7 linked regions of the Cricetulus griseus genome follow. The protein of the gene in region 2 interacts with the protein of the main gene of each other region in a pairwise test. Links are inferred from orthologs where the notes say so. Each region holds a gene or a part of one and is shown on either strand. Other genes may lie near its edges.

Region 1 (3,500 bases), on a different chromosome or scaffold from region 2:
AGATCCAGCAGGAGTATAGGGCCAGATGTACTGGGTAACTGTTCTTGGAAGAGCAAATGGGATTCTGGGTGTCCTTGCTGACCAGACAGCTAAGAAGGACCCACGTGGATATCACTGTGACTAGAGACACACAGATTTTGGTCCCTCTATGTCTCCAGGTTGAAGTTTTGTCTCTATAAAATGATGTCATGGAGTGTAAGATGACCCCCTGATACTAACATACTGTCCATGGGTAGCATGAGCCATTGCTGGGCTAATTTCCATGCCTGCTTCCCTCTGTCTTAGCTGCAGGTGTCCACTGCTTGCAAGAGTGTGGAAAGCCGACTTGGAGGCTTGTCAGCTGCTGATGCAGAGTCTGCGGCTCCAGGAAGCAGGCATCAACCCACATGCAGAAGGTGAGAAGCAGATGGACAGCATAGGAGAGGCCACCTGGACAGCCACCCTGACTGCCCATCCCAGACCACACCCAGAAGAGGAGAAGACCCCCTTGCAGGTGCTCAATGCATGGAGCATTCACTCAACCCCCTTACCACACTGTGCTGGAGGCCAACAGAAAGAGGTTTGTCCTATGTATGCGTGACTTTTTCAGGGGTCCATGTGGCGATGAGAACAAACAGAACTGGAGGGGGGTTGCCATAGACCCTCACAAAGTTCCCAAAATTCATACAACTCTTGAATACGATAACAAAATAGTGTATAGCTTTTTGAAGCTTAAAACATAGACGAGCAAAGAGAAAAGCTTAGAACATTAGCTTTCTTTTTAATTCTAGTTTAGAGGGCCCCATTGTTCTAATTCATTCTAGAATAAGGAAGTTCATATAGAATCATATGTAGTATGCACTATGCATCTTATATAACATAGGTTGTTATACAGACTGTATATCATATATATTCAATTGTATTTCTAGAGCCTATAGATTATATCATTTATGAATTCAAACATTCTAATGTTTGAATTCTAATACATGGTGTCATTTTCACCAAAAACAGATCATGATGAATGTTTGTGGTTCATTTTTTTTCATGAAATCAAAGCAAAACAAAGAGCAGAGAGCCCTGTTGTTTGGCCTGATGTGTACATTTCCATTAGAACATGATATTACTTAATTTTTAAAATCAGGGCCTGACCCTGACAAGTGGAGAAAGCTCCCTCACCCCACTTTCCCAGCTTTCCATTCTGCTCCTGCCTGAAGTCCAGAGGGGTTCCTTGGGTACATGTCTTCCCTCTGAGGCTTCCAAGTTCCTTATTTGGTGGTTTCTGGGTATTCCGTCAGGTCCCATATGTTCTGTAAGGGAAGAAGTTGGCTATAGCTGCTGCCTGACTCATGCCCTCACCTTGACTTTTCAAATCCCATTGCACCCCTTCCTTTGTCTTTGCCAAAATTCAATGAGATGGGAGAGTGGGTGGGGAAAGCACCCTAGCCAACCTGCAGGGTCTCCTGCTCCTGATTAGGACTAGAGTCGTGACATTACAGACCCTGTGCCCTGTGTTCAGCATAACAACCGGTCACTGTGTCTGTGCTGTCTGAGGACTGGCTGTGCTTGTATTTGAACACATGTCCCCATGGGAAGATGAGTAGTATCATAGTCTCTCTGGGTCCCTGCTAGCCTCGGCTGGGTAGGCTTTAAGGAGAACTCCTTCAATACCCAATATTCTCTCTGGAATTGCAACATAGTTTCCCAAATACTTAACAGCTTCTCATGGAGCCAACATTTTACTGGGAAGGTCATAGCAAACCCTGAGCCTATTTCAGGAGCCTGAAGCCAACAGAACATCTTAAAGGTGAGATGGCAGTATTTTGTTATATTTGTTTTACTTTAAAACACGTGTTGCTGCTAATCTCTGACCATGTCTAATTTATAAATCAGGCTTTGTCACAGATAGGTATACATATGAAAAATTGTTCTACTTAGGTTTGATGCTGTCTGTAGTCTTAGGTATGCACAGAGGGGTCCAGGAACATTGAACCGGCATTCTTTGAATTCACAAATACCATAGATCTTAAGATGATAGATATTTTTTGGGAAAGGCAAAAATGATGGGACTGGAGAGCAGGTCTCATTGCCTGGAAGCTGGGAAGAAAGAATCTGGGAGTAGTGACAGATGTGTTTTCTGTCTTGTGGTGGAACCACTATGTATATATATGTAGCCATCTGAATCATGGCTTTACAGTGGAAAAAATTGCACATAACTTTTCAGAACTGACTAAAAGCTTAATGCAATGTCTGCCTGCTTAAAACAGGGCTGTATATGAAACAGGGGGACTTACCTCAAGACTCTGAGAGCTCAGGGGAGGAGAGGGCTCAGCTTGGAGTTCAGGTTCCATTTCTGCTGCTGGGAGGCTGCATCTTCTCATCCACTGACTCAACACCAGCAACAACGTGGGCTGGAGGGATGGTTCAATGGGTAGAGTGTTTGCTGTGTAAGCATGAGAACTTGAGTTAAATTCCCAGCACCCACATAAAAGGCTGGGCAAGGTAGTATAAGCTTATAAGCCCAGCACCATGGATGTAGACACAGGAGTATCACTGACTTTGCCAGCCTGCCAAATTGGTGAACCTCAGTGCAGTAAGAGACCCTGTCTCAAAAAAACAAGGACTGACATCTGAAGTTGGCTTCTGGACTCCATATGCACATACACACACAAGAATAGTCTCCCTGTGCAAACACAAATACCTGTGCACACCCTTGTCACCATGCATGCACATACAAACTCACACACACATACTTACCTACACAGACACATACAAAAGTAACAATGGCCGCAAAAATCAAGAGAGAATAATCAGAACTAAGTTTTTAGTGGCATTAATTACCCTTCCTGTTACCATGACCAAATGCCTGACAGAAACAAGAGAGGAGAGAATGTCTTTGGCTCACTATTTCAGAGACCTCAGCCTGTCATGGGAGGCATGTATGACCAGGGCAGGCTACATCACATTGGGCCATCTCTTTTGTCTTGTTAGTTGTAGTGCCTGTACACGTGGTAAAGCCTGGCTAGTGTTAATTTCTGTATCTCTGGTGTTCTGGAGGTCACAACACCTAAAACACCCTTTGATAATCTACTTTGCTGGCATTGTCAGGAGGAGAAAGTGAGCAGTGAATGAGAGAGATGCCTAAGGAGAGGCAGGCTATAAAGGGGAAAGCTTGCTTGTGTTTGCTGGGAGATTTTAGACCACTAAGCCTCAGAGGTGTGATACTTGGGGGTCTCCTGGTGAAGGTGGTTTTGTCTTCCTGTCTTGCTTTTCAGGGGCTATTGAAGTCTGGGGAGGGATGATGTGTTTATCTTGAGGCAAAATGTCCCTTTGCTTTGCAGCTCCAGGTGTATTTGGCTTTGCAAGGCGCTGCTGGGCCAGGCTACCCCCCCCCCCACACACACACTGGTTTTCCTATTGAAGCATGACACCCTGGGGGCAGGCAATTGCTTTTCAATCCAAATCTTCCATGACAAATCGAGGGCTTCTTACAGAGGTCCACAGGGAGATGGTTTCAAAGCCTT
Region 2 (3,500 bases):
AAAGTCTTCAGAGGATGGACGGGGACCAATGTGCCGTCCTCATACCTTGACCTGAGACAGCTCCTTCTGAGGTGCTGTGAGCTTCTTGCTGACCCTGCCCTTGGCTTTCAGCTCCTCCACAGTCTTATAGGAGTACTTGGGCTTCTTCTTGCTCCCGCTGGGGTCTTTCCTCCACTGGCTCAGCTCCTTCTGAAACTCCTGGAGCAGAGGGAGGCAGAGAACGTCAATAGCAGGGGCCTCCTCCACAGCAAGCAGCCAGGACAAGGCCCTTAGCAAGCCCGTAGCCACCAAGCACCACTTCTCAACACCCATCCGTGTACAGTACAAGGGTTGAGATGCCAAGGCAGGGTCCTCAAGGGAAGGGCGCAGCTCTGCCAGTCCTCACTAACTTAGGCAGAGCTTAGAAAGCACTCGCCCCCACCTGGCCGACCTCCACAGAAAATGGTGAGCAGAGGATACTATGCGTGAGGACACACCCACCCTACAAGTCAGTTCCATGACTGCCGTTTTATTTCTCACCCTGCTCTAACCTGTCATTCTTTGAACTATCTGGAGTTGCAGCTGTTCAGAAATAATGGCACCTAGTCCCATATAGGGCTGTTTCTTAGCTGAGCAGAGCCTACACTGCAGTCAGACCACCATACGGAGGCATGTCTCAGGTCCCACCCTGCCTACTGTCTTACAGCAGGCCCCTTACACACACCTAAGCCTATGATGGCATGATGCCATTGGCTGCACACTGAGCCCCTAGTAGGGCCTGCCACATAAGCAGGTGTGTGGTGACACCCAAAGGCCATCAGAATGCATAACCCATGAATTGCAGCTGTCTGTAATGGCCCAAGCCACACCCACACGGCTGCCTTCTCATTACCTCTTCAGCCTCTTCTTCTGAGTCAGCCACAGGGAAGTCCTGCAGAGACTGAGTGGTTCGCTCTGAGCCGTAGGCTCCCACGGCTCCTTTGCCTTTTCTCTGTTTGGCCTCAATGGGATTGATGATTCCTGAGCAAGGACAGGTGGAAGACAGAAAGACTTCAGATCGCGGGAACCCATGTGAAGACACAACTGAGTGGACACTTCCTGCTCCTCAGCTCACAGCACACTGCTACTTACAACAGCACAGCAGCACCTTCCTTGTGCTCAGGACAGTGTCACGCTCTGGGGACTTGAGGAGTGACATCACAGATGCTCTGCCACTCTCTTCCCAGTACAAGCTTGGCACTAGCTGAAATGACTATGGGTGGCCCTGGGTATTAATTACACTGGACCCAGTTCCTGCTGGAAAAGGCCAAGTTCTTGTTCCTCATGGCCAAGGTGATGAGCTGTGCGTGCCCGGGACTCTTTCTCAGTGGGGCTGGTGTATGTGGGAAACAACATGGTCTGGTCAGCCAGCAGCAGGCACATCTTTAGTAGGTGAAGGCTGCCATGCTGCACACTGACAACAAAGGTAGGGACCACCGAAGCAGGGACTACAGAGCTGAGCCTTCAGAGCCCAAGCAGGCTCACACACATGATCACTTGGCGGGCCACAGGGAGCTGAGGACATTGCTTTATAAGACCTCACACAGCCCAGAGGAAGCTGTGAAGCTAACAAACTCCTGCCAGGCAAACTCTATAGAGTTCTTGGTGAAATAGTCTGACTTGCAAATATTATCAGTTATGTACAGCCACTCTAGACCCTACCGCTTTCCTTCCTACTTAAGGAAGCGCTTTACTGAACCTGGATTCTGGAAAAGCTGGGCAGCTGGAGAGCACAAGTGGCCCATGCTGCCAAATCCAGCTGCAAAGTTAACAGCTGTTTTGTTTGGGTTTGAGTTTAAGCATCCTTCCCAGGACCTGATCCGCAGAGATCACCCCATACTTGACGGGCTTCCTAAAGGGAAGAGGCAGACGAGGCATCCCTCTACCAAACTCCTCTTGGGCCACAGCCTCACTCACCCTGTGCATTCTTCCCCAGGCCCCGCCCAGGGACGTAGCCCATCTTCTGTAGCAGCTTCTGCCCGATGCCCTTTGTGTGTCTCTCCCAGCTGCCAAAGTCCATGAACGACTTGGTTCCTCCAGCAAAGCCTTTCTGGCTGGGCTTAAAATTGCCACCCTGCAAAGAAGGCCTGATGAGCATGGGTGAGAAAGAAACACAGAATAAAAGGGAGAATGCCAATGAGAGAGAGAACAGCCTGCAGCCAGTGTGCTATGAAAAGCTGTGTGTAGACCGAAACCACATCAGGGACACAGACCAGGAAAGAGACTCAGGACCTATGGGGGTAGCATACACAGTTGCCCACTGGGCTTCTCTCTGCCAAAGAAGTTGCTGCACTGATGACCTCTGACTGTTGCCACTTAGAGACTATCCTGTGAGACCTACCGTTTTTAACTTCTTTGGTCCTAAGTCCTTTGGAAAGTCCTCCTGCTTCGCAGGCTTTTCATCATCATCAGAATCATCAGAGTCCGCTTCTTCAGCTGCCCCTTTCTTGAGCCCTGCGCTGATGAAGTTGACCGGTGCAGAATAGTCTCGGGCCCTGTAAACAGACACAAATCCCCCAAGGCTAGAAAACACCTCTGCAGCACCCTGTCCTCACAGAGAGAACTTCTTAGAGAGAGGGGCCTCGTGGGATCCACTTTAAACCATAATATGTTTATTATGCCCAAATGCCAAAAGGGACTCAAAACTGACCTCCAATAATCTTATGTTTAGCATATTAAAAATTATAATATCTTGCCAGGCAGTGGTGATACATGCCTTTAATCCCAGCACTCGGGAGGCAGAGGCAGGTGGATATCTGTGAGTCTGAGGCCAGCCTGGTTTACACAGTGAGTGCCAGGATAGGCTCCCAGAGTTGATTATAAATTAAAAAGATGATGTAATAACCTTACTTCCCTTTGACACTTTTTTTTTTTACTTTTGGTTTTTCGAGACAGGGTGTCTCTGTGACTTTGGAGGCTGTCCTGGAATTAGCGCTTGTAGAGCAGGCTGGTCTTGAACTCACAGAGATCCTCCTGTCTCTGCCTCCTGAGTGCTGGGATTAAAGGTGTGTGCCACCACTGCCCCACTACCTTTGACACCTTTTTTTTTTTTAAAGATTTATTTATTTATTTATTTATTATGTATACAGTGTTCTGTCTGCATGTGTCCCTGCAGACCAGAAGAAGGCGCCAGATCTCATTTTGGATGGTTGTGAGCCACCATATGCTTGCTGGGAATTGAACTCAGGACCTTTGGAAGAGCAGCCAGTGCTCTTAACCTCTGAGCCATCTCTCCAGCCCTCCCTTTGACACTTTTAAAAATGTGCACGATGAGGGCACATGTGCCTCGCAAGCATGTGAAGGTCAGAGGGCAACTTTGTGGGGTGGGTCTTCCTTTTCACTTCTTATGTAGGATCTGGTGATAGAACTCCGATAGCCAGGCTTGTGTGGCAGTGGTAAGCAGCTTTACTTGCTGAGCCATCCCACTGCCCCCCCCCCTTTACAATTGAAAAGAATGTTTTTAGCTTTTAGAGTGGTAAAGC
Region 3 (3,987 bases), on a different chromosome or scaffold from region 2:
CCTGATCCCTCTGCCTGCCTTTGCACTTGCCTGTTCCTTTAGGATCTTGAAAAGGGCTTTAGCCTTAGCTTCTAGGCCACCTTCACCCTGGGATTCTGGGTGTGCTTCGATCTTTACACCTGGATCATTTTCCTGCCCCACCTTTACATCAGCCTTGGGCTTTGAGTCATCCTGAGGTCCAGCCCCCACACCAACATTAGTCTTAACTCCTTTCTCAGTTTTGCCCCCAGTTTCTGGTTTGTCACTACAAGACTCTTCCTCCTCCTCTTCCTCCTCTTCTTCATCATCCCACAGTTTCTCATTCTCATCTTTTCCCCAGGTCAGTCTGTATACACAGTAGCAGGCACCAGCCCCGATGACCATGCCTGCAGCCACACATCCAGCTTCGCGAGTGCGGCCCATGGTACAGGTGGGGTGAATCCCTTAACCTGGACACAAAGCTGGCTTGCTCTGGTCCAGAGTACTCCCAAGTCAGGGACAAAGTCTTCAGCTCTTGTAGGTAGGAGCAGCTAACACAGCAGATACAGTGAGACCTAGAAGAAGGAAAAGCTTTCAGACTTTCAACTTCTCCAGTTGTGCCTTTGTACATATATAGACTGAATCACTTGCCCACAAACATATAAATGTACAGAGATATTGGCTAGCATTTAGAACTTGGTATCCTCATCATTATTCCTTTCCTTTATCTGGAAGCAATTTTGGAAGTTTGCTAAACACCCAGATTCTCCAACCTTACGTTTTTCCACCCATTCCAAGAATGTTAAATTGAATAGATTTATATGTTGCCTATGATCTTTACCCTTCCAGATGTCCTGAATCAGGGTCACAGGGTTACCCTTACATACACCCTCAGAGATCCAAGTAGTCCCTTGTTCCTTTCCAGACTCTTGAAGATCTGCAAACAAAAACAATACAGAGGTCTGATCTGAGAATTCAAGAACCAGATAAATCACACCCAAAAGGATAGAGATAGAGATAGAGATAGAGATAGAGATAGAGATAGATATCCATCTTCTGAATTTCCAGGCCCTTGCCCTTCACTGCAGTGTTTCTTACCTTCTATTACCTTCCTCACTGCAGGGACATGGCATTGTCTCCCTTCCCCTCCTCCTTGGAAGATCAGTTTCCTGCCCTGCCCCACTTACCCTATTTGTCACTTCTTCCAAAGGTGATACTACATACCCTAACTTGTGAAGAAATGGACAGCAGTGCCTAGAAATCAGATAGACATTATCCGCACTTGCTTCTAACACCCTGACTATCTTAAACACATCCTCTCAGTCTATTGAACAATTGTATCATTTTTCACTGCCCTGTGAAATTTCTTTCCTCCCTCATCTCAGTTCCTAACTTCACAAACTTAAGGACTAACAGACTGGGTGCCTATTAGACTAACACCAAGGACACTGCACCATACAGGATTTTAGAATAATGCCATCCCCATTTCCAACCCAGCATTCTCTATGGATATCCCCACCTAACCATCTCCTTCCGGGTTTCTTATCTGCAAAGTGCTTCCTTTTGCAAGCTCAGGAACAAAGTAAAGTGGGGATGCAGAGAAACAACATAAAACAAAAACCAAAAGAAAAAAAAAACCACGGAACCAGGGATGCAGAGAAAGTCTGAGTCCAAGGACCCCCCCCCAAACAGTGTCATCACGCTTCCTCTGACCTACTTAATTCAGGAAATTTTTCCTCCTTCCCCTGCTCCTCCTCCGTTTGGACTGGTCTTCAGTAGCAAGATCCACAGATACAGGCGCCTAAGCAGAGACAAAACACAAAACTTAGACCATCTAAATGCCGACTTTCCCAAATCTGGGAACCTGGTTGGTCAGACGGATTTCATGATTTTACTTCTCACCCTACCCCCAGTTCTCTGGACTCTGCTGACACCCCGCGGCACTATATCACTACATCCTGGCACTCCTTTCTGCGGTGGTCGGCCATTTTCCCAGCAAAAACCACACCCCTTTGGAAGCGCAGGGCTGGAGGCGGGCCCAGCGAGTACGGAAAACTCGAGCTGTGGAATATGACAGATCTCTTCTGTTCTCCCCCAATCCAGCCCACCCCCAAAGACAGCCATTTTTTTCTGTAGAATTGTGAGAACTGTCCTTTTTTCCTGGGGCGGGACAGGGGAGAACAGACACGTAGTTTGCTAAAGATTCAATAATGGCCTAGAGTTATGATAAAGCCCTAAGCCATCACCACCCATTTGCCGGCCTGTAGCAATCTCAGCTTTAGACTGACTGACATGCAGAAATTCGATGACGATTATTCCTTTGCTCCAAAAGGTACTGCACTCTACTGATGAATGACAGAGGATAAGAGTCTCACTGCCTCAAAATCCTGTCCTCGAAGGTGGATTCATGCACCAAACCATAATACCTGCCCTTCCCGATTCTAGGTCCGGACATGCCAAAGACTCCCCGCCCCCCAAACCTAATCTGGGGTCTCCCCTGGAATCTCTCCCTCCAATGTTTTTTGTTTTTGTTGTTGTTGTTGTTCTAAGAGGGTCCGAAGACATTGCAAGTGCATGAAGAGAGCAGGCTGGCAACTCTGCTACAGCGCTACCGACAAGACAGTGATCCCCCGGCATCCCCCTTCCACAACACAGACCTGCTGGGACCCAGGCAATTACCTTCTCCTCCTGCTTCAGCAGCAGGCCTGCCCGCAGTCAACAATAACACAGAGAGAGCAAACACCGATCGTAGCATTAGAACAACGTCTGCACACGTCGGCTTCGGCTCACGTGAGGGTCACGTCACCAGTGAGATCAGGACTCCACTACACTCCCGCCAACACTGCGACAGGAGGCAGCCTTTCCCCTTCCTTCCTGGCCACACCAGATTCGGCTATTCATTTCCTCTTTGTTAGTCCCCAAACCAGAAGGAGCTTCTTTTGTGGTTGGGATTTGCCTTTCTATGGTTAACGCAGAGGCTGCATTGGCCTTTTCTTCCTCTTTTAGGAATAATCCTGGCTTTTCTTTATTCCCACCCCTAGGTGCTCGTCCCTTCTCCCCCTTCTCTTTCAGCTGGGAAAGTCCAGCATTTCCCCTGCACTCCTATACCAAACAGGATTTTAGAAAAAGGGACACAGAGTAAAATTGGTTTTGTTAAATTTTCTGCCCACTTGTTAAAAATCAGCTTTGCTTTTACATTAAGGATATAAAATTTATGTTTTATAACATTTATAATTTGTTGGAGAAAAATCCAAGTAGAAGAGGAAAACCGAGTGGGCCTTACTAATTGCAATATATATGCATTTATCGCACAAAATATTTCTACTGATTGCAGAAAAATAGTTGCTTTCAAAATGCACCAATTAATTTGTTTTTAAAATTGAAAACTGGATTTTTTGCCATGATTTATGAATACGTTAAGAAAAGACAGCCAGTTGTCTGATTTGGACCATTTTATACAAACCGCTCTTTTTTTTTTTTTTCCCTACTTTTGCCTCAACTTGCAACTTGGTGAAATAAAAGCAACATTATCAATCCTAACTTATTTAATTAAGGTAAAACATGTATTTAAGAACCCAGAGTCTTTATTGATTGCTACAGGGAAGATTTAGTGGCTCTAAACACCTGCCCCTGGATTAGATTCGAGTCTACTAAAGCTGAGACAGCTGAGAGTGAGAGAAGATGGGATGGTCCCATTCTCTGTGCCCTACCAAGAAGTGAGGAATGTGCCACCGTGCATTCCAGAGCCTCTCGTTCCCTGTATCCAGGCAGCTGTTTGTCGCTCAGTCCAACCACACATACACACACACACATACAACTATGGGTAACCAAAATAATATATACCACCTTTATTCAGATAACAAGTAAATATCTTTGGTTCCTTCATGCCTTCCTCAAATTCCCAAGACGTATCTCTTGCGTAGAAGAGCTTCCTATTTCCACCTACCTCTCTGGCCTTGTTCGTGGTGCTCATGATCCTGCTGCTGCTATCAGTACCTGAGAACATCCTTGCCAACAGTTGTTTCTGTC
Region 4 (3,500 bases), on a different chromosome or scaffold from region 2:
CATAGAACAAAACTGGGCAACACTTCAATGATTAGACACACTCCTGTTCTAGGTATTCTTCATAAGCTTCAATATTCTGCTGCCCAAAGAAGGCAAAAACAAAACTCATGTGAACCCCAAATATGCCCTTAAATGAGTCTCAGGTGCCCATGTAGCAAATCAAGATGTTCCTATGAATAAATACTGACTCTTGACAAAGATTCCTTGCCCGTGCACTTGGTTGCCCATGAGGCTAACCTGTTGGTTCCCATTTGCAACAGGGGAAGCCACCACTAACAATGCTTATGTATTCAATCTAATATAGATCACTGGTCCCAAGGGCCTTCTACGATGTCCATCAAGGGGACATCTGGGTGACACTGGGTGCCTAGAGAACAGAGAGGTCATGGCAGGATTTTGACTTGAGCTTGAAGGCCATGTTCTTGTTGTTCTTGGCCACAATCTTGCCCCAGAAGCGCCTGGCTTTCCTGGGGATGCTCTCCCTCCTCTTCTGGTAGGCCAGCCTCCTCTCGTTCTTCTCCTTGCTGTCCCGGCGCAGGCGGACCTGCCTCACGATGCCCTCAAACAGTTCCTTCACATTGTGCTGCACGGCTGCAGACGTCTCAATGAATTTGCAGTCGAACACCACAGCACAAGCTCTCCCTTCTGGAAAGGAGGAAGAGGAAAGAAAGTCAGAGGGGTCACAGAGTATGATCCTGCACAGTGTGGTCAAGCTAAAGGACACTTCTCCAAAACTGCAATAGAGATAGCATAGAGCAGTAGACTGCATTGTAAGAGGAGGGGGGCACCAGGGCACACATCTTCCCCCGGGTAAGAGTAGAAATAAACAATAAGAGGATTCCAGGAAACCGGTTAGATCCAGCTCACCAAAAATTCACTATGGAAAAGTAAAATTTCATCAAATACACTGATACTAATTACAACAGCAAGAGCCCTGGCCTCCACTTCCTAAAGGTTTGCTACATTCACAAAAGCAGGCCAAGTTCTTTCCAAAGCCTTTTCACTGCTCAGAACAAACTTGGAAAATATACCATTATTATCATCGGAGAGACGAAGAAACTGAGTGAAGTGTTTAAAAATGGGAAGGAACTCACACAGCTGACAGTGACAGGACAACCAGCCCTGTTCCGTGCTCAAGCTTATACACTTTCTCCTGACTCAGTGTCCCTCACTAAAAACTCTAATTCCAAGTTTACTATTTAGCTTTCCTGTCTTTTAAAAAGAAAAGTATGATGAGATGAGATCTTTTGAGGAATATGATGATTTTATAAATATATAAAACGTCAAACTATTCAAGCTTTTCTAAAACTCTTGATTTCAGATATTATGTTTAGTAGCCATGTGTCCAAGTTTGAGTTTGAAAAGATCTAAACACGGAATACTGTGGTGTCCTAGTAAGACAGTCCAAGTAGCTAGAAAAATCATTTTGACTGAGCAGGGCCTGAAAGTGCCATATTTCATTTTTATGGTTCTACGCAATCTACATTAAACCAATATAATCTCGAGGGCCTTAAAAAGAATACAGAGGCACACTCATCAAATAGGAATGACCCTTGAAATAAGGATGGAGACTCATGTGTGGTCCCAACAGTATCATGCTCTCCCAGAAGTTTAGGAAGGAGGGGCTGGGGTTAGAGAGTATTAGATGGAGTACTAACAACCCAAGTATAACTGTTTCTTTTGTCTCCTAACCAAGAGCTCCCCATCCTTGCATTAATACACCACTTTTCCTCCCCTAAATGTAGAATCTGCTTGAAGAATAAAAGGTTAAGAAGCAAAGGTCAAGACTGCCAGTAAATTCCTGAGGATGCTCTCTTCCCTAAAGTAACTCCAGGAGAACACCCAAAGGGCAGTGGGAAGCCTGGAACCCTTTAGGTAGACCAGAGGATGAAGAGAACAAGAGATGACTAACAAAACTGATGGGAACCATTGGAGTCTTAGACATAAGCCTTCATGGAGCATCCCACTGAGGCCCTGGAAAAGGGAGAGAGAACCCCACTGTGGTCCAGTGTATGCAGTACAAGGGCGGTGCCCAGAATTGCACACCCTCTCACCTGACACAGACACTTCTCGGCACCTCACTAAGTCACTTTTGTTGCCAACCAAAATGATGGGAATGTCTTCTGTCTGTCGGGCCCTGCGGAGCTGGATCCTTAGCTCAGATGCCTTCTCAAAGCTCGCTCGGTCTGTGATGGAGTAGACGATGAGGTAGGCATCCCCAACCTGCATGCAATGGTCCTGGAGCCATTCATTCTCCCCCTAATGAAATACGAAGACCTCCCGTGAGCTTAGGCAAGCCTGAAAATTGAGGTGTCATTTTGCAAAGAAACTGCATGTCTATCCCAAGTAAGAGAAAGGAAGAAAACTGCTTCCAACACCTCAATATGCATTGTCTTCCAAGATGTCTAGGGACAAAAAAAAGCAGTCTGCATTGTTTTTATGCCCAAGAAACTTATTTTCCAATTACTAGTACAGCTTGAGCTGATATGGTGCATAGCTACTGTGACAAACAGTATTTCCGATTACAATCTAGCCTGCCCAAAATGGACTTTTCTGACTCCCTAAAAGCTTCCTTTTGTTTTCCCCAAAGGGCAGAACTACAAATCCTTTGGGAGAATAGGAGGGTTCTCAATCAACCAACAATCTTGCATATGTACTGGGAGACCTAGAACCATCAAAAGCCATGCTGGAATGCAGTGTTGAGAAGGTCAGCTTCACACAAAGTGGTTTTGTGTCATTGAAAATAAGTGACCATGCTTGTTTGAACTTTCCCTAAAACAAATACGTTTCTTGTGGTTTTTAATAGAACTCAGGGCAAGCCACTGCAATTTGTTTGTTCTTTAGGGCTCATCTGTGGACGACCTGTTCCTCAGCAGTCTCGTTCTTCAGAAGTAAATGTTTTTAATCAAGAAAATGAGCCCACTGCATCTGGAACATCCACTATGTAGGACAAGGTCACTCTGGCCCCAAGCAGCCTGTTGAAAGGCAAGGCCTAAAAGAAATCACTGGCAGCCACAGGCCCTGCATACCTTATTTTCCCACATGTCCAGGAGGATAATCGTTGCACTCTCACCATCAACGACCAGGGTGCGCTCATATGTGTCTTCTAGAAAAGAAAGAACATTGCTATCAGAGTCAGGTGATTAAGAAAGACTTGGGCATAAGAGGCTCCTGTCAAAGTCTCACTAGAAATATGTTCTGTGGGGGCTGAGGAGGCATCTCTCAGTAAGTAACATGCTGACTGAGCAAGCGCAAGGACTGAGTTCAGTCCTCAGAACCCATGTGCAAAGCCAAGCATGGCGGTGAGCACTTGTAACCCTTGCTTTAGGAAGGCAGAAACAGGCATATCCTTAGGGTCCACTGGCCAGCCAGCCTAGCCAACTCAGCTAGCTCCAAGCCCAGAGGCTCTGTCTCACAAAACAAGATGGCTGTCTCGGGAAGAACAACCCGAGTCTGACTTCTGGTATCCATGTGCACATGTACACAAATCTACACATATG
Region 5 (3,169 bases), on a different chromosome or scaffold from region 2:
ATAGCTCTTGCGCAGTTGCTCCCAGTCTCCGCTCACCGCCTCACATCTCATCATGGTTATTTGCCATCAATAGGCAATTACCACAAAACTAACACAAAACTCCACCCCAATGTGGCAGATACTCATGAATGAGGTGGACAGAGCAGGTCAACTGGATGGATTATCAGTGGCAACTGAAAACCAGAAATGAACCCCAAACTCACTTGAGTCAGGCCTGCCTGCTTTCATCACTGATGGAGTTCCCAACAGTGTTTCTATTTCATATACCCTACCTGCTTATGAGTACTGGGCACTGAAGAGCTACCCTAAGATCTTACCCACTTGGTCAGAGAAGGGAGAAGAGGGAAGATGCTCCTTTTTTGGACTCTTGGGCCTTGAACAGAGGCAGTGGCCTCATTTGGGACCTTCCCACCCCCAGTCCACCTGTCTGTCGCAAGGACCTACACAGATCCATTTGTCCCCAGAGATCCTGAAGACAGTTGAGTCTCCAGTGAGAGAAATTGTGATGAAATCACTTTAATGTCCTAAGGAGCTACCCCAAGACACTGGTAGATGGGCTTGGTGGGCAAATAAATGTTCAAAATCAACCCTGACACCCCATGTCTACTCAGTAGTATTCATACACGTTAGGCTGACAAGGCTGAACAAGGGACAGCCTTGGAATGGGCTGAACCCTCTTCCAGGTTCAAGTGTCAGGGTGCCAGCCGTCTTTCTGCCAACGCAGTTTGGAGTTGGTCCCAGGGCTCTGTCCACAATATAGGCAGGGCTGCTAAAACTCTGTCATCTTCCTGTGGGTATCTGCCTTCCGCTGCTCCCTCTGTAGGCCAGCTTCTTGAGCACGCAGCTGACCCAGTTTCCGCTGGGCTCCCTCCAGCTTCTCCTGCAGATGGGCTGTTGCCATGCTGTGCCTAGGGAGAGCCTGCTGGTCAGCATTATCTCCTGGCTCCCCACTACCAGGCCCCCAGATGCTGTGGCCAATGCCCATTCTCCAATATTCAGACCACTTCAGACTCAGGGGCTACTGAGATCGGTGACCTTTAGCAGGTACCCTGCGGGCACAGCCACTGGAGCCCATACTGCCTCAGCTGGACCCCACACATACCGGCCAGCATTCCGGGTTAGGGCCTCCTGGATGCCCCGGATGTCCCGTTGGGTCCGCTCAATCTTCTCCTCAGTCTGGAAGAGCTGCAGACTCAGAGCCTGCTTGGCACTTTTGCTGGCATGATACATGTCCTTGTTCCTTTTCCCTGGAGTGTCCACCCCAGCATCTGGGGTCTCAGGCGCCTGGCTTTGCAGTTTTTCATTCAGAAAGTCAAACACATTCCGAGGGGGTGGGCGGCCCTCGGGTCTACCACCACTCCTCCGACATCTTGGAGGCCTATTGGTCCCAGCCTGGCCTCCCTTTGTCTTCTTCTGTAGTATCTCTGTGCACTGGTCCAGTGATTTCCCTCTAGGCAACACTACGGCATGGATGGGCTCCACTCGGCCTTCTGCATGCCGACCCAAACCTGGGAAAGACAGGGCCTTGTGCTGCCTCTGCCAGACTCTTAGGCTATCATGAGGCAACCCTCCCATCTCAGGGCAGCACACACTCACCCTTGCCAAACTCATAGCCCATCTTGACTAGGAGTTTGGAGCCAATGCCTCGTGTATGTACCTCCCAACCAGCAAAGGCAGAACTGCAGGTTCCGGTGTCCACGGTGTTTGGTTCCACCACTGCAGGAGACAGAGGACTCCAAGTAGTGGGTTCTAGCCAACACTACCCAAGAACTCAGGCCCTAGGTAGGGCCTGATCTCCTGGATTTCTGGTCCCCTCAGGTTCCCCAAACATGCTGTGGGCACTCCTGGCAACTCTACCTTGAGAGATAGCTGTGTGGTAACCAACTTGACTGCTTTAGCTTACTATCTGCCACCATGGATAGGAGCTCAGAAACTACCAACTCACATCACAGGTTCCCTGATACTCCTTCCTGTCTTCATCCTAACCAATCTCTCAGGAGGATTATATATTACCTAATTTCCTGAACTCTCTATTTTACCTAGACACATTTTCCATCTGCAGAGATCTCTTCTCCCCTACCTACCAGGCACCCAAGCTCTAAATCTGGGAAGCCATCTGAAGAAGCCAACCTTTCCTATGTTCTACATTCAGTTACTTCCTGTGACTCCTTGGCAGACCTAGCACCAACATTCCATTCTGACAGTGAGGTGCTATCTTGCTTCAGGGAGTTCTGACTCTTACATATGATTGTTGTGTCTGTTTCTTAAAGGCAAAAGCTAGGTCTTAGGTCTTACCCAGGCCCATCACACACACTCTGGTCCTTTGGGCCCTCTCCTGTAGATTACTGTGCTAAGCTTCTCACCACATCACTTGTTCTACAATTATCCTGACAGCTGGGTGCCTGTCTAGGTCTATTCCCTGACCAGCCTGGCTTCTGGGTACTGATTTCTGCCATACCTCTGGCATAGCTGGAGTCACTTGCATCACCACTGTCTGAGTCAGATGACTCTGTAGCCTCTGTGCGCAGAGGAGGCAGGATGCTGTCTCCCTCTACCACAGCCTCCTTCAGCAGCAGTGAGTCAAATTTAACAGTATAGTAGCCATTGTCCACATCTAGGGTGACAGAGACAGGCTGTAGGTTAGCAGCAACCAGTTAGGAGCAAAATGAGAGACAGGAAGGGAGGGGGCTTGGGGCAAAGACAGACTTGCTCCTCTTGGGCCCAGATGACGTCAAAGCTCAACCCAGAGGAGGTAGAGAATGGCTTTAAGGAAAAAAAAAAAAGGATGTTTCAAAAAGGGTCCCACCAGGTAGGCCCTTGTAGGCAATCTCACCGGTGATCCGTGCTGGGTGCCAAAGGCCATCCTGGTGCTTGGCCAGACAAGCAGAGCCAGTCTGCAGTAAGCTCAAGTCTGGATCCTGGAAAGGGCGCAGCTCATCCACAGAGACCACCTGCCCATGGGAGAACCTGTAGATGTAACCACAGGAGGCAGTGGCTTAGACATGGCCCACTAGGAGCATGTAAGCCCAGAATCACAGAGACCATCAACAGGGCACTGCCTATAATGGAGTGAAATTCAAGAACCCAAGACAGGCACACCAGCAAAAACATCTACACTTTCATACCTATGGGTTTATGGACACATTTCTCTCTCACACACATACATTCA
Region 6 (3,500 bases), on a different chromosome or scaffold from region 2:
CTGAAAGTACTATTGACTAAGATTATGGGCAGTTGAAAGAAAAGAAGAATTTTTAATATTCTGTACAGTGTGGTAGGGTAACTATGATTGACAATAATGAATTGTAGATTTCAAAACAGTACAGAGGATCTGAATATCCCCAACAAAAAGGAAGCCATAGATGTTTGAGGTGATGGATATGTCAGTTACCCCAACGTGATCACTATGAAGTGCACACACACACACACACACACACACACACACACACACACACACACCTCAGTATATCCTACAAACATATACAATCATTATGTATCATTTAAAAATATTATTTTAAGAAATCATACTCCTGGACAGATGATTGTTAAAAGTTAAAAGTCAGCAGCCAAAAGCACTAGCTGCTCTGGCAGAAACTGGCTTCAGTTCCCAGCACCTGCATGGTAACTCACAACCATCTTAACTCCAGTCCTGGGGGCTCCAGTGTCCTCTTTAGATCTCAGAGGGCACCAGAAATGCATGTGGTGCGCAAGCGTACATGTAGGTTGAAGCATTCATATGCACAAAATAAATAAAAATAAATCTAAAAGACAAGAGTTTAAGAATGGAAGAGAAATCATCCATTGGGAAAAAAAGGCTAAGACATAGAAGGATATGTATAATATAATGCATAGTTTATGGATAGCTGATAGTCACAAAATAGAGACATGCATGAAAATGAGCAATTTAAAAACTATGATACTGGTGACCCCTGAAGAGAGGAAGACTGAAATTTGGATGGACATATAAGGGGTTTAAATTACCAGTAATGTTTTATTTCAGAAAAAAGAAGAGAGAAAAAAAGAAAAGAAAAGAATTGAGGAAAAATTAAGATTATACAAAGCTGTGTGTTGAGTTCTCTATGTTTAGAGTGTTAAGTTTTTCTCTATGCTTTCCAGTGTGGGGGGTGGGATGAGAGGAGGAGAAGAAACAGGAGGTGGAGAAAGAGAAAGAGGAGGGAGGAGAAGACTGTAGAATGCAAAAGAGCAAAGGGCAGAGGTAACACCAGATGAAGCACACAGCGTGAGGAAAGAGGAAGGGGCAGGGGTTAGATTCCAGAAATACCTAAGAGGCAGAATAGACCATATCTGATTGATGGTTACAGGGCATGGGGTAAGGAGGAAGCACAGTTATGGCTGTACTGTGGCAAGTCTGAGGCAGAGTCAGTCTTGCTAAAGGAAAAACTTGGGAAGAGGAGGCCCCAGAGGAGCCTGGGAAGGAGGGAGCAGAATATAAGACCCAAGGAGATGTCAGAGGAGCAATGCCCAACATCAAATGTTGCAAGAGGTGCTGCCAGAAGAGGGCTAAAAATGTCCTGAGCTGGGGTGACAGGGCCTGCAAAGACAGGGGGCGGGACACCTATGGCCCAGAGGGGTCCTCAGTAGAGTGGGGAAAATAACAAGCCATGCCATTTCCAAGCTGTGAGATCCTGAGCAGGTGCCTTAACCTTCCTGAGCCTCTATCTCCCCATAAAGGGATGGTCTGTTTATTCTTCCCAGTGGTTGGTGACAGAAAGAAGGCTGACTGTATAAACTCCTAATCAGCCTGCATGAAGTCCTAAGTGCCCAGGTCCTCGGAGGGGAGGTGTTTTCATATTTTTCCTCTCCTCCCCAACCACCTTCTCTCTCTCTCTCTCTCTCTCTCTCTCTCTCTCTCTCTCTCTCTCTCTCTCTCTCTCTCTCTCCCCTCTCTCTCTCTCTCTCTCCTCTCTCTCTCTCTCTCTCTCTCTCTCTCTCTCACACACACACACACACACACACACACACACACAGACTCAGACATACACAGATGCATATGTAAACACTCATTTCACATATAGCTTTGCACAGATAAACCATCAGGTCCTCCTACCCATTGAGGGATCTTGGCCGTCTGTCCCCCAGGGTTGCTGCCTCTCCCCAAAGCAAGATAACCATTCCAAGGGCCCCTAAACCCTAGCCATCTGGAGCTGAGCTATATTCTGCTAACTTGGAAAGAGAAAAGGGTGCTGTGGAGGGCCCTGTAGTGCAACACCCCCAGCCAGGGGACCCACCTCAGAGTTCTCCACCACCTTCTCTAGGTACTTGTTGAAGATGGCGTAGTCCTGAAGCTTGACACACAGCCTCTGGTGCTCCAGCCTCAGAGCATTCATCTCCTGCTTGGCCTTGGCCAGCTCCCGCAGGCGCTGCCTTTTCAGTTCTCGCTCTTTGTTGGCTTTTTTCAGGGCTCGGATCCGCTTCTGGTCATTCTCCTGCAATGAGGGAGGCAACAGAAATCAAACAAGCCTCACCCTCTCTCCCTGAGACCCTGGCCTACCTGGGACTGGCGACACCCTAAACCCCCTCTATTTGCTGAACTCAGACCACTGGAAGGGAGGGCAGAGCTTGCCTGGCTGCCCATGTTGGAAAGGAGGCATGAAGGAAGAATTTTGTGAGACTTTGGTTATTTGAAAGGACTTAGTTAAGCTAAGAGACTTCTGTGGCCTGAGGAGGCTGTGAGTGCAGAAATTCAGTTTAAGGTCAAGAAGGAGTCTGGTGGGGGCATGCAAGCAGGAAATTCAGATGCTGTGGGAGTTGGTCCCTAGGCTTCAGAGAGTGGGGGCTGGGAAGAGAACACACAGAAAGGAGGGTAGAGGAAGATCTCTTGAAAGACCCCTGAAGAGGTACTTTCGTAGGAGGAGACCCGTACCCAGGAATCAGCGAGACCACGAACTTGGATGCAAACTGCAAGAGGCTTTATTAGCGGCACGGGTACCCGGGGCGGCTTAGCTTCTGTTGGGCCAAGCGCGCCGAGCCAAGGGAGAGGGGTCCTTATATAGCAGAAAGCGCAATACAGAAGCGAGAAGCAGAGATTCTATTGGATAATTCAAATGAGGCGCAGTACAGTGTTATTCCTATTGGTCAATTTAAATGAGGCGCTATATAGGGTTATTCAAATGAGGTGAAGTATAGAGTTATTCAAATGAGGCAAAGTACAGAGTCATTTCTATTGGATGGTTCAAATGAGGCACAGAGCCATTCCAGACCAGCATATTCTCAAGGTCTGGTGTCTGGTACAACAGACTCAATTTCCCTCCCTCCAGATGGCTGACCTTGGGGGCGGAGACCTTGGGACGGAGTGTTCCCCATCGGGCGGGGGCGCGGGGGCAGGGCCCCAGGCCGGCCCACCTGGTGCTCGCCCTCGGCCGGCCCACCTGGTGCTCGCCCTCGGGCCGGCCCACCTGGTGCTCGCCCTCTGGCCGGGCGTGCGTCAGCGGGGGAAGTGGAGGCCGGTGGGGGTGGGGATGGGGAAGCCGCCGACTGGAGGAGGAGGCAAACTTGAGAAAGAAAGGGCTAAGGGGCAGGGGTCTTTCACTCTCTTGCATCCAATGAGGCTGAGGAAGGCTGAGTGGAAGAAGGAAGTCCTTGACAAAGCTTTTGTGGTTCTGTTTTTAGTGGTGGCCATTTGTCATGGGGCAGGTGGCTCATCCAGGGTTGGGAAGCCCACATGTTCTCCTGACATAGTGC
Region 7 (3,929 bases), on a different chromosome or scaffold from region 2:
ATGAGATCTAGTGTTCTCTCCTGTCCTGCGTGTGTACATGCAGGTAGAATTCTGTATACATAAGAAAAATCTTAAACAAAAACAAAAACACAAAACAAACAAACAAAACATATCAGGATCCAAGCAAGGTCCAAATATTGCCATTGCTTTCACCCTTTAAAATCTTCCTTGGTTTTTGCCCCCACCATCCTTATATAAAAAAAAAAAAAAAAAATTAAATAAAAATCTAACAGCTCTATACTGGTTTTACATTCTCAGTAGATGTCAAGCCAGTATTAAGAAACAACTGATCTCAACATAAAAAAAAAATCTATAGAAGCCGGGCAGTAGTGGTGGAGCACACCTTTGATCCTAGCACTGGGGAGGCAGAGGTAGGCAGATCTCTGTGAATTCAAGGCCAGCCTGGTCTACAGAGTGAGTGCCAGGACAGCCAAGAATACACAAAGAAACCGTGTCTACAAACAAAACAAATAAAACCTACAGAAATAAGACTAGCCACCTATGGGAGGAGCCAATACAATGGCTAGTCTTTATTAGAGATAAACTTTCCATCACATTCTGAAAAGTTAACACAGAGGCTCAGTGGACCAGTTGGTGGGGCACCAGCTTATAATGGGTTCCACAGCTGGGGCATCGCTGGACCTCGCCTTTGTGCAGCCAAAACCAGATGACAGTGCAGTTGTCCTCTTCACCTGAAAGGGAAAAGGCAGCTCAAAGTCATCCAGCTCCAGCGTACAAAGGGAGACTTACAACATTCATCTTTTCCTACAAACACTTTAGAGAAAAAACCCAAAAAAACTGTGGTTGACTTTAAGAAGTCACTTCAAGCAAACTCTGCTCTTTCAAATGAAAAAATGGGGCTGAGTTTACCTGTGAGTAAAATAACCTTGTATCAGGGTCACTGTAGGTTCTAACAATTCCATTCCCTACACAGAATCCCAAAGCAGGATCAGTACTTATTTGTATCTCTAGAGCCTAAAACAGTGCCTGGCATACAAATATATTTATATATAAAATCTGGGCTGGAGGCTGGAGAGATGGCTCAGCGGTTAAGAGCACTGACTATATTCTTCCAGAGGTCCTGAGTTCAATTCCCAGCAACCACATGGTGGCTCACAACCGACTTGAATAAGATCTGGCACAGTCTGCTGGCATGCAGGCAGAAGACTGTATACATTTAAAAAAAAAAAAAAATCTGGGCTGGAAAGATGGTTCAACATGTTTTAAGACCATAGACTGCTCTTCCAGAGAACCTGAGTTCAATTCCCAGTATCCCTATCAGATGACTCACAACCTTATTTGTAACTACAGCTCCAGGGGCATCTGACTCTAGTGGCTCTCATGCATTCTGAGGCTTGAGACAGAACACTTAGGACAATTTATACCAGTATTTTTTATGCACATATAGTCAGTCACATGCACAGATCTGAAGCAATTTACAGAGATTCTGTGTAGCAGGTCATGAACAAATGGACAGACAATAAAGGCAAGGTACTTACAGATGCAGCCCACTATTCGCTTGTTGGTGATGGAAGGGACTAAATTAGGATCTTCCTTGGTGCCTGAAGCCGCTTTTGGAGGTAGCATATTGTATGGATCCTGAAAAAGGCAAGAATTGACCAGTTACTACAGACATCCCCTGCAACTACACTGCAAAGGGGCTGTTCCTACAAGTTGGGTTTCCAGGACCAAATGCTGGCTGACTGGAGACTCCTCTGATCCCATCCAAGTCCAAGGGCTCCAGAAGACACAGGGAGTTTTTCCTTACCAGTCCCTTCTCTGCTGCTATCATGATCTCCCTCTCCAGCCCTGTAGCCTGCTCCTCATCAGTAGGAACACCACCTAAAAGAAGAAAAATGAATTATGCCAACTGATAGGACCACGATGAATACACGCTCAAATGATCAACACGGGAAAGGTGACATTGTAAGCGTCTTTGGTGGGCTCTCAAGTCACCCATTCCCACAGTCCCCTAAGCCCACTGAGTCATGACTCCCAAAGCCTTAGGGGAAGTTTCCCCCTCCAGCCGCCGAGGCTTGCTTTTCGACTTTTTCTAAAAACCAAGTAATCAATGAGAGATAGCTGGCTGGAGGTGGGCAGGGAATCTCAAAATCGGTCCAGTCTTTTCCCACCGCTCCAACAGTCCCTGTCTCTCAAGGTCACCCGGCACCTTCCAGTCAGGGCACTTTAGAATCGGGGTCAATCCTGGGCGGGGGCTGGGCGGCCGAAATTACAGCCAGACCGCTCGGAGCGCAGACTCCGGGAGCGTGAGGTGGTCAACAGGGCCCGAAGCAGCTCAATGGCCGACCCCGCTCGACCGCGCCATCACCAACCACCCCCGAGGCCCCGGACACCGGCCTGGCGCGCCCAGCTGGCCACAAACCTCCAGAAGCAAAGGAGCGTGTCGCAACCGCGCCATGGGGCCCACGAGCCCTCAGGGCCTGCGCCGCCAGAGCTCCCACTCCGCGAAGTAACCTTGAAGCCATCTCGCCCGAGACAAGCAGATGCACTTCCGGGAACGGGCTCGGCAAGATAGGCGGGACTTCCGGCGATGGGCGTCAGTCAACGACCAGTCAGCCTTCCGCTTCCTCCCCCGGCCTGCCCAGGCCGCTAAGGTAGATGCTGCGCATGAGCAGCTCTGCCTCTGCGCCCGCCGCGCAGACTCCGTCAGCCTCGGAGGCGTGGCGTCAGTCACCATGGCAGCTGGCGGCTTTCGGTTTTGCCACTGTTGCGCTTGCGTGCTCGCGCCTGTGTGTCCCGGCCACATTGACGTTCCTGTGGTGGAGGTGCTGTTGGAAGCTGAAGTCCCCCTCAGTGGGGACTTGCTGCACCACAAGTGACACAGATGGGCTTGAGCTCGGGAAGCTTTGTTTGACGTGCCTGTTAGTCGCCGGTTCGGGTCCTCAGGCAGAGCATTAGCCATCACCAATCTGTTGCGTAGTCCCACCCTGTCAGAATTTGACGGGACCTCCCCACAGTCTCGGCCTCAGTTTCCTTCCCTCCTTCCTTCCTTCCTTCCTTCCTTCCTTCCTTCCTTCCTTCCTTCCTTCCTTCCTTCCTTCCTTCCTTCCTTCCTTCCTTCTTTTTTTTTAAGGCAGGGAATCACTATGTACAATCAACCCTGACTGACCCGGAACTCGCTTGTTGATCAGACTGGTCTCGAGCTCACAGAGATCTGGCTACCCCTGCTGGGATTAAAGTATTGGCATCACCTCAATTTCCTCCTTTAACAGTGTCATTAGAAGTGATGGTGTTGGCCCCAGGGATGGATGCAGGATACCTCCTGGTGGCCACTCTGCGAAGTTATGATCAATGAGGAGGATTCTAGAAGGAGGAAGGAAGGAAAGTTAATAATGCAATTAGAAATCACAATAGTTACAGTGGACAGAGGTCTCTAATTTAAACGGAAAACACATCCCATTGCTCCCCACTGCACACTGCAGGTAAACTGTGAAAACTCATGGCAGGACGGCTAGAGGACTTTCAAACACAACTGTGCTTCCCTAATTGTGCTCCAATACCTTGTAGAGGTCTTGCATATAATAATATCAAATAATTTCTAGTAAGTCTGGCCGTTTGGACCAAATATAAAGCTTATAGGTCAATTTGAGGGCAACTACAAAGGACTAAATTCCTGGGTGTTGCCACCTGCCATGTGTAGATTATTTTCAACATTTTTATAAGTTGCATTGGTCACAGTGTCTTATCACAGCGATAAAAAGGTATCTAATATATACTTGCTTCTCACTCTCATAGATTTCCCTAAAAAGAGGAGAATTTTGTCAGGACTTGTCCAGCTCAAGAAAATCTGACCCTCATTCTGGTCACCAAGATCAGATGTGTGAAGGCTGAGAAATGGCACAGTCCATAAAATGTAACCACGGGACCCTGAGTTTGAGCTCCAGTGCCCACATAAAGCTGGGTTTGGC

Evidence for each region.
Region 1: the proteins of Tfip11 (region 2) and Disc1 interact in binary tests that used the Homo sapiens proteins (3 or more experiments, as listed by UniProt). The link is inferred for Cricetulus griseus from reciprocal best matches to the Homo sapiens genes TFIP11 and DISC1.
Region 3: the proteins of Tfip11 (region 2) and Armcx1 interact in binary tests that used the Homo sapiens proteins (3 or more experiments, as listed by UniProt). The two-hybrid records come from large-scale screens. The link is inferred for Cricetulus griseus from reciprocal best matches to the Homo sapiens genes TFIP11 and ARMCX1.
Region 4: the proteins of Tfip11 (region 2) and Gem interact in binary tests that used the Homo sapiens proteins (3 or more experiments, as listed by UniProt). The two-hybrid records come from large-scale screens. The link is inferred for Cricetulus griseus from reciprocal best matches to the Homo sapiens genes TFIP11 and GEM.
Region 5: the proteins of Tfip11 (region 2) and Zgpat interact in binary tests that used the Homo sapiens proteins (3 or more experiments, as listed by UniProt). The two-hybrid records come from large-scale screens. The link is inferred for Cricetulus griseus from reciprocal best matches to the Homo sapiens genes TFIP11 and ZGPAT.
Region 6: the proteins of Tfip11 (region 2) and Ccdc42 interact in binary tests that used the Homo sapiens proteins (3 or more experiments, as listed by UniProt). The two-hybrid records come from large-scale screens. The link is inferred for Cricetulus griseus from reciprocal best matches to the Homo sapiens genes TFIP11 and CCDC42.
Region 7: the proteins of Tfip11 (region 2) and cytochrome c oxidase subunit 5B, mitochondrial interact in binary tests that used the Homo sapiens proteins (3 or more experiments, as listed by UniProt). The two-hybrid records come from large-scale screens. The link is inferred for Cricetulus griseus from reciprocal best matches to the Homo sapiens genes TFIP11 and COX5B.

Annotation. Positions count from the first base shown.
Region 1 is NC_048596.1:201,987,762-201,991,261, forward strand, and holds part of Disc1 (disrupted in schizophrenia 1 protein), read left to right. Parts: intron 1-285; coding exon 286-559; intron 560-3,500. UniProt on the Homo sapiens protein: Involved in the regulation of multiple aspects of embryonic and adult neurogenesis. Required for neural progenitor proliferation in the ventrical/subventrical zone during embryonic brain development and in the adult dentate gyrus of the hippocampus.
Region 2 is NC_048597.1:92,004,157-92,007,656, reverse strand, and holds part of Tfip11 (tuftelin-interacting protein 11), read right to left. Parts: intron 2,514-3,500; coding exon 2,360-2,513; intron 2,093-2,359; coding exon 1,936-2,092; intron 1,000-1,935; coding exon 872-999; intron 199-871; coding exon 46-198; intron 1-45. UniProt on the Homo sapiens protein: Involved in pre-mRNA splicing, specifically in spliceosome disassembly during late-stage splicing events. Intron turnover seems to proceed through reactions in two lariat-intron associated complexes termed Intron Large (IL) and Intron Small (IS).
Region 3 is NC_048604.1:45,377,433-45,381,419, forward strand, and holds the start of Armcx1 (armadillo repeat-containing X-linked protein 1), read right to left. Parts: upstream 2,801-3,987; 5' UTR 2,638-2,800; intron 1,993-2,637; exon of another isoform or gene 1,866-1,992; intron 1,760-1,865; 5' UTR 1,676-1,759; exon of another isoform or gene 1,672-1,675; intron 896-1,671; 5' UTR 846-895; exon of another isoform or gene 800-845; intron 534-799; 5' UTR 403-533; coding exon 1-402. UniProt on the Homo sapiens protein: Regulates mitochondrial transport during axon regeneration. Increases the proportion of motile mitochondria by recruiting stationary mitochondria into the motile pool. Enhances mitochondria movement and neurite growth in both adult axons and embryonic neurons.
Region 4 is NC_048595.1:125,845,786-125,849,285, reverse strand, and holds part of Gem (GTP-binding protein GEM), read right to left. Parts: intron 3,107-3,500; coding exon 3,030-3,106; intron 2,260-3,029; coding exon 2,055-2,259; intron 646-2,054; coding exon 368-645; 3' UTR 1-367. UniProt on the Homo sapiens protein: Could be a regulatory protein, possibly participating in receptor-mediated signal transduction at the plasma membrane. Has guanine nucleotide-binding activity but undetectable intrinsic GTPase activity.
Region 5 is NC_048599.1:523,034-526,202, forward strand, and holds the end of Zgpat (zinc finger CCCH-type with G patch domain-containing protein), read right to left. Parts: intron 2,968-3,169; coding exon 2,834-2,967; intron 2,615-2,833; coding exon 2,459-2,614; intron 1,717-2,458; coding exon 1,597-1,716; intron 1,509-1,596; coding exon 1,103-1,508; intron 909-1,102; coding exon 770-908; 3' UTR 501-769; downstream 1-500. UniProt on the Homo sapiens protein: Transcription repressor that specifically binds the 5'-GGAG[GA]A[GA]A-3' consensus sequence. Represses transcription by recruiting the chromatin multiprotein complex NuRD to target promoters.
Region 6 is NC_048600.1:82,480,016-82,483,515, reverse strand, and holds part of Ccdc42 (coiled-coil domain-containing protein 42), read right to left. Parts: intron 2,246-3,500; coding exon 2,048-2,245; intron 1-2,047. UniProt on the Homo sapiens protein: Essential for male fertility. Required for sperm development.
Region 7 is NW_023276807.1:11,509,191-11,513,119, forward strand, and holds cytochrome c oxidase subunit 5B, mitochondrial, read right to left. Parts: upstream 2,541-3,929; 5' UTR 2,487-2,540; coding exon 2,384-2,486; intron 1,843-2,383; coding exon 1,769-1,842; intron 1,600-1,768; coding exon 1,500-1,599; intron 693-1,499; coding exon 580-692; 3' UTR 501-579; downstream 1-500. UniProt on the Homo sapiens protein: Component of the cytochrome c oxidase, the last enzyme in the mitochondrial electron transport chain which drives oxidative phosphorylation.